Linked DNA regions of Rattus norvegicus. The protein of the gene in region 1 binds, or shares a complex with, the protein of each later gene. Links are inferred from orthologs where the notes say so. Each region holds a gene or a part of one and is shown on either strand. Other genes may lie near its edges.

Region 1 (3,821 bases):
GTTCCTGTAGACGAGAAAACAAACATAAAGCTCATGTCTGTGTCACTCAGTTCATGGAAACTTAACTGTACATAACCGACAGTTTAGAGCGGCCCACACTATTTTCAATCTCCACCTCAACATACAGTGTGAAAGCAAATATACCAAAGGCACGAGAAGAAAGAAGGGTTAAGGACTCAGCCCTTCCCATGAACCCTTTCCACACAGCACGGCTCAAAACAGGAACTGAACAAAATCATCATGAACATAGCTGATGTCTACACGAAAGAGAACACGTACCGAATTACAATGGAATGAGTTCTACACTACAGTAACTGCCCTCTAAACCTCTTTCAGGGATGGCTTGAAATGGTTACTGACATAACTTAGCTCTGTTAATTTCATAAGGTTGACTAAAATACATGTAAAACAAAAAAAGAGTCAAATTCAAAACCTTCAAAGTTTTGGTTGCCTATAGTTTTTTCAACTCCATAGATATATGTTCCTTCTCTTCTCTGCTCTATGGAAAGTGTGTCTAACAAGGAGATGTACAGAAAATATGGAAGTAAGAGAAGAGGCCTGTGGCAGTGAAGGACAATGGTTGAACCTGAGGGCAGAAGGAGAGCTCAAGATAAGGCAAGACTGGCCAAGCTGAGGGAAACCATGGAGTAAGTGCCTGATTTTATCCAGAAAGCACTTAACCTGCTGGAGGGTTAAGAGCAGGATTAGAGGTTGATAGGCATGTGCTGGAGTCCTCTGGAGGCTGTGGAGAAGGCAGGGAGGGAGGTGAAGGTCCAGGTTGTAGACTCTGAGGCCCAGGAGAGGGAGAGACTGGGTTAGGTGAAAGCAGAGGAAAGGACAAAGTACAAAGATTTGAGAGAAGTGTAGCAGAGGGAGGATCTCAGACTTGTCCAGCTAGTACAAGTGAGTAACTGAAGCGAGGGAGGAGAGAACACTGTACCAGTTACCTGCATGTGCTCTGGGGTTAGACTACCCAAGCCCCACATCCAGTCTGATATTTCTTCACTAAGTTCTGAAAACAACTTTTCCCCAAAACAGCTTACCTTGTTGTCCACCTAAGAGTCTTTCAACGCCCTTGATTAACTTGTGGCGGTGTCCATAGGCATTGATGCCTATTTCTTTCAGTTCCTCATGACCCATATCGGCCAGCACATCTAACGTGATCTGAAAACGAAAGCAAACTTAACTAAATCTGTGCCGGCTTGGGAGGACGAGCGCTCCTGTGCCGTCTAGGGGCTGCAATTACAAGTCTGACGAACAGCTTCCTTTTCTAAGCACCACCTTCATGCAGCCTAAGAAGACCAGTGGCCTCCTAGTTCAGTAATGGCCTCTGGCACTTGTTTGGAGCAGACGATCCCTGTGATGGGAAGACAGGTGACCACTGCCACGTCTCTCTGGCTGCCATTCTGTCATCTTCTGTGTGTCTCCAGATACACAGATCAGCAGCTTGAAAATGGGAAAACCCCAAATTCTGTACCGTGTGGGTAGGAGAAAGGAATGGCAGAGGGAGGGGGAACATTTTAATCTGTCACCACAGTGTGGCAAAAGTAAGATGAGAACTTCCCAGTGCTGGGAAAGGAGCAAGCCAGGAGTACTGCCGTGGCTTCAGGAGGCGGGCTGGTTTATCAGTTTAGGTCACAGGCCATTCTATGAGAGATAAAGAAATCTCAATGTACAGAAAAGGAGAGATGGTTTTTAAGTTCATAAATACCAGGTTAGTGATGCTTGCTGACAACACTCGGCTGATGTCTGTACAGATTGTGACTCTGCCTCCACCCAGTGGCAAAGCTCTGACATCACCTCATGTCCAGAGGATGGCACTGGTAGTTTCCTCAGGGCAGAAAATGGTCCTGGGGCAAACACATGCCTATTGCCCTGGGTTATTTTCTTTCTTTGGAAAACTGAAATATCCTTTATAGACATCGTTTTTCTAACTCATTCAAAATTAAAAAAAAAAAATCACTTTCTTAGTCCTTACACTTAAAGTGACAGTTTCGAGCCGGAGCTTTGATTTTTCCTGTCAAAAGGAAACACTGCACGATGAGCAGCATCGTCCATGCAAGGACCACACTGCTCATTCTCTGAGGTAATTTAGCATATTACTTTAAGTGGCCATTGAAGAAATAATTGTTTCATGGTACAAGATCTGTAAGTCACTTCTAATCACCCAAAGAAGTTTTCAACAGAGCTTTAAAAAGACAGCAACATGGAAATAATCATCTTTGAAATAGAACAGTTTACAAAATAGTTCTTAGTCAGACCTGATTTTAATGTAACTGTAAGCCATGCTGCCGATACCGTCTTCTTCTAGATATTTTATATTTCAGTTTAAATATGAATATTGACAATAAAAACACAGCCTCGTGTATGTGAGGTAACCAGGTTACATACATCAAAAGCTTTCTAATTGACATACAGCAGTGCAGAGCTGAAGGGTGTCAGAGTCAGGCTAGAAGACAAAACAAAACCCCAAGGGATTTCTAATCATGTCTAGAGAAGAAATAAAGACAGTTTTAATATATAGACTTCCAATCACAACACGAATGTAAAATCCTCACCCAAGCCCCTGCCCCAGCAGAGGAACCCTGAGTTACTACACTTCCGCTCACAGAGCAGGGCTCAGGGAGCCAGGCTCCTCCCTGGTGTGGAGAGCAGTCTCTAAAATGGCTGCTGGAGATCTTCAGTCTCTAGCATTTGTGTTCTAAATTAAAGTCCCTTCCCTTTGGGTGTGGGCTACACTTACTGAGTAGTTAACTAATGTGATATAGTGGAAATGACAGGATAGTACTTCCCCCTTATATTTAATTATTTATTATTTTTATGCCTCTACTGACTTATCTGGTGGAAACAGAGAATATATTTGGTATTTGGAGGAAACCACAAGCTTGTTCCCCAAGTTCTTTTCTTTGGGAGAAGGGAGTTACTCATATCTAACGTACATTAATATAAAATAATAAAGTCTATTCATCTATCAGCTAAAAACGGTTCTGCATATAGAGTAAGGGCTATGTCTATAGGGTCGCCTCCTGCCCCTAAGAGTTGCTTGTTTGCCTGGCCTGTGAAGAGAAAATTAACTACTGTAAGTGAAAAGGCCTTTTTCCCTTGGGGTGGTAGCAGTGGTGACTTTGTAACCGTATTTACAATGAATTTGTTGGGCCCAAGCACTACAACTTGAAATAAAATGGATATGGTTACTTTCTGTGAAAATCCAAGTCATAGCAGTTGAACTCCATAAATTATAATGTAAACCCAATTTTCCTTTCCCATGAACAAAGCATTCTAGGTAGGAAGCTACACTATGAGTGTGAGGAGACGCTATGCAGTGCTACAGTTAAGTAGACAGGATCCTGACGTTTCTCTATGAAGCATCTATGGAAGAGGACGACTCAGACTTCTGAGAAGAGAACTGTGACGGTGGAGCTGAGGATATGATGCACTCAAGTCTTCTAGGGGAAGAAATAAAAGAATTGCCTCCCGCCTCACTGGGACAGCAGTATTCGCAGGCAGGAACAGAGGCAGCAGAATACAGTACACCAGGAGTCTGAGCAAACACACCCAGAGCAGGATTAAGTAGACACAGAGATGGATCACATTACCAGACTGCTACAGAATGTTTATGACAGAAAAGAAAATTCTAAAGGCATGCTGTGGAAGAGTTAAGTAGCTTAGGATTTTATACCTGAAGACTACAGATAACATCTGCACTCGAAATAATAAATAAACTTAATTGTCTGCTCAATGGCCCAAAAGACAGTTAAAATAGGTCAATATATAGAAAGGCACACCACTATCTGGAGGAGAGGGGCTACACCAGGTAATAT
Region 2 (3,821 bases), on another chromosome or scaffold:
TTCAAGTGGTTTTCTTTATACTCAGAGGGAAACAGTTACCCCCTCTTCGTTGTGCAAGCATCAGATGGAGTTTAGAACCGATGAGTACAAATTCTGAGGCTCTATGACATTTCCCCAATGGAGTAGCTGTGAATTCCAGTTTGATATAAATTTAGAACACTACACTGGCAAATCAGACCATCTGCTCCATCATTAATCAGCTAAGTAATCTGGGGAAACCCTTTTGGTGCCTGTGAACCTGACACTAACAGCAAAAGAATGCAGAGCCAGATCAGTGTCTCCCACAAAAGCTTTTCAGAAAAGAGTTTTTAAAAGAAGGAAAAGTACAAGTATTTAAAATGAATTCCAAGGGATTTTTCCCTTTCTGTATACAACATCATCTGAAGTGACAGCAACCAGTCTGCGGGCTTCTTACCTCGTGTGTCATTTTCTATTTCCGTCCTCCAGCGATGTAAACAGCTCTCCAGCACAGACAGTTCTTCCTCTGTGATGTGCCTTGGTGCCGGATGCATGGGCAAGTCTGGAGGGATCCGCGACTGAGTGAAGGGTTTGTGTATCACTGACCTCAGTGACAGGGCAGCACCTGATGCAGGTGACGAGCTGGGCAGGTCTGAAGCAGGGGTTCCCTGCTGTTCTGTTGTGCTGTGGTTTCAAAGCATACACTACTATTAGACCTCCAAATGGAAGGCAAATATATAGATAGCATTCGAGCTCCTCATAATTTCAAGAGAAAATGATCTTAAGAAATACATGAACTGATCAAATATCCTGATGAGACATTCAGTATGGGAGGACTAAAATCTTATGAGGATGAAAGTGTGGCTTTAAAACAAGAATGCCTTCTTATTTTTAAATGGAAAATCTAATGTATATTCTACCTTTGCAAATACCAACTTGCATTACCAGAAAGAAATTTGTGTTCAAGAGCATTATTAACATATTATAAACGTTCAGAAACTACAAACCAGAACATTGAACGTATAATTGTGAGCAGAGACCATGTATAAAGATTCCACAGATAAACACAGACCTGCTGAAATGATAAGGGGTAAGCAGCTAAGGTGACCCACTGTTTAAAGGGTTTCTCGAGGTTAATCACAACAGCACAGAACCCGTGTGAAGGCAGCACAGGATACAGGCACCAGAGCAGCTTGCTGCATGGGAACGTTACCTTGGTAACGACTGTGATGATGTGGAGCCACTGGTTGAGGAAGTAGCATCGATATCATCCACAGGAGAGGTGCAGACAGGCTTACTGGAGGCGAACTCCAACGCATACTGTAGAACATCGACCAGTGGGAATCTTTTGGGACCGGAGCCATAGCTTAAATATCTATTAATAAAATATACAAATGTTTTTCCTATATTGTCAGCATAATTTGTGGCTTTAAGTCTTATAAAATAAGACAACACATCAATAAATAAGACATCAGTGGAATTCACTTGCTTTTCTAATAAAGAAGGTGAAACTGAACATACATTCAAGAGATGGACTAAATGTTCTCAGAAGGAAGGACAGCAGAGCTGATCAAAATGCAAGTCATATGTGTGGCTGCACCTAAGACGCCATCCTAAACTGTGCCCGGTGGGGAAACAAAGTCGGGACCATCTGCAAACATCCTCATCTCCTGAGCCTTAGGGGCCAGGTAGTCATTTCATCGTCACCTACCCCATGAACACTTTTCATACATGTACTGGAACTTAAGACTAAAACTCACTAGAAATATATGTTCACACTCAACATTTTATGTTACTAACATGCAAATTAAACCTAACTCAGAAAGTTGTACGTCAGCAACTGGGATTTCAGTCTTAGACTTCTCTGGCCTGCACAGCACCCACATTCCACATTTGATGGAGCTGTGACTTGTTCTTACAATGTTCACGATGTTCTTACACATGCACGCACAGCCCCTCCCTTATGGTGTGCGACAGCACCCACCCACTCGGCACACACGTCTATGAGCCGTGCATGCCCTTCGCTGACCAGCTTCTTCCTGAGTGACTGATCCACTGTGTGACTCCTGGGAGGCCAGGTGGGAAGAGTGCGGATCCTCTCACTCAGCTGCCGCTCCTCTCAAGCCAGTGAACCCTGTGCTCTCTGCTAGCCTCCTTACCTCCACTTTCAGCACCAGGGGAACAAGGCGGTGATAATCAGATCTTTCATTTCAATTTCTAAAGTAATCATCTACAGTCTACTAAGGATGCAAACTAGTTTCTAAAATAAATAATCAAAATTAAATCCAGAATGATTGTATACATTATAAGTTACCCGAAGCATATTTAAAATGAATAATCTAGGGAGTCACAAGCACTTGCTTTCCTGTCATAATTTCACGAAGGCAGAAATACCTCTCTAATCTTTGTTGTAATACTGTGAGGTAATCTTTAAGTCTCTTGATCTCTTCACGTTTAATTCTTGTTATTTCTCTGTTTCTGTGCATATACCTACAAAGGAAAAAAATTAGCCAGCATTAATGTTCCCAAATATCTTAGAAACGAGTATGATGTTAAATTTAATTATCACTACAAAAGATTAACTGAAGTTTTATAAGATACCAGATATAAAACACAAAACTATTTTAACATTTAATATATTTACATTCAGAACTATATATGGATAAGAGAAAATGAATGTGTTCCCTTAACAAATAATAAAACAGACACATCAAGCATCAATAAACTTTAGCTGGAAGGAAATAACGAATTTTACTATACAGTTACCCTCCCCTTGTTTACTCAACAGTTGCAAACCTACCACATGTTGTACAAACCATACCTGTCCAGGTATAAAACTTGGGGAAATTCTAGTTTATTGTGAATTTTTTCTGGTCTTCCCAATGCCTGATTAAATTCAAATCTTGACAGTTCAAATGTTAATACAGGTGGCAATTCAGTGAACCAATGCTGAAAGAAAATGAGAACAGACACTTAGCCTCAGTTAGGTTTCTCATCAGAGTTTTAAGGACAAGGATACCATCCTGGCGCTGACAGCACACAGAGGAACTATGATGTTTACCTTACAGCTGAACATCTATCTGAAGTTCCCATAGCCTTTGTCTAGAGGACAGAGGGAAACCTTATCTATACAGTTGTAACATTCAAAATTCTAACTCGAAGAAAAGGACTCCAGAGCTCCGTCTTCTGTCTCATGCTGAATGACACTTATTAAAACTTATTAAAACCGAATGTCAAATCCACGATTTGATTCCAAGGGAAAAATACTTGTCTGGCAAAAATGCTCAGTGTTTTCATCCTAAAATTGGAAAAACATTATCTTCCTATTTTCTATTTTTTCTCTTCCTATTTTTACCTTGAATCTTACAATTACACATTATACTGATTTATGGTAAACATTTTTCATTAGCAAAAAAAATTGTAAAAACTTTCAAATACAAACTAGCAATTAATGAGTCAAATTTCTTATTGCTCTAAGCATGTCTTTTTTTTTTTCTTTTCTTTTTTTCGGAGCTGGGGACCGAACCCAGGGCCTTAGCGCTCTACCACTGAGCTAAATCCCCAACCCCTTCAAAGCATGTCTTAACCACCCACCCCTACATGCAAAATTTGGCAGCTCTTCAGTGCATCAGGAAGTTTAACATTTTCAAAAAGCTGGTTTTCATGGAGCAAGTTTAATTTTACAAAAGGATACTATTTTTTTTTAAAAATGAATATTTACATTCACAAACCAACAAATATAGAAGTATAAAATAATAAATATTTTCAACTATTAATATTTATAAGCCCTGCAACTAGAGACTTCTAAAGGAAGCACTGGTACCAACATACAGTTATCATAGCTTCCAATGCCAAAAAATGGT

The links.
Region 2: the proteins of Tnks (region 1) and Usp25 are in contact, whole or in part, in a crystal structure (PDB 5GP7), measured with the Homo sapiens proteins. The link is inferred for Rattus norvegicus from reciprocal best matches to the Homo sapiens genes TNKS and USP25. Residues at the interface, in NP_003738.2 of Homo sapiens: Arg836, Ser838, His842, Leu843, Gly846, Tyr847, Leu871, Asn876, Ser879, Tyr880, His882, Asp900, Trp902, Phe904, Glu909, Gln912, Lys913, Gln934, Glu935; in NP_037528.3 of Homo sapiens: Ser1046, Ser1048, Arg1049, Thr1050, Pro1051, Ala1052, Asp1053, Gly1054, Arg1055.

Annotation. Positions count from the first base shown.
Region 1 is NC_086034.1:64,053,825-64,057,645, reverse strand, and holds part of Tnks (poly [ADP-ribose] polymerase tankyrase-1), read right to left. Parts: intron 1,165-3,821; coding exon 1,044-1,164; intron 5-1,043; coding exon 1-4.
Region 2 is NC_086029.1:29,159,874-29,163,694, reverse strand, and holds part of Usp25 (ubiquitin carboxyl-terminal hydrolase 25), read right to left. Parts: intron 2,908-3,821; coding exon 2,780-2,907; intron 2,449-2,779; coding exon 2,353-2,448; intron 1,334-2,352; coding exon 1,172-1,333; intron 643-1,171; coding exon 416-642; intron 1-415. UniProt on the Homo sapiens protein: Deubiquitinating enzyme that hydrolyzes ubiquitin moieties conjugated to substrates and thus, functions in various biological processes including inflammation and immune response.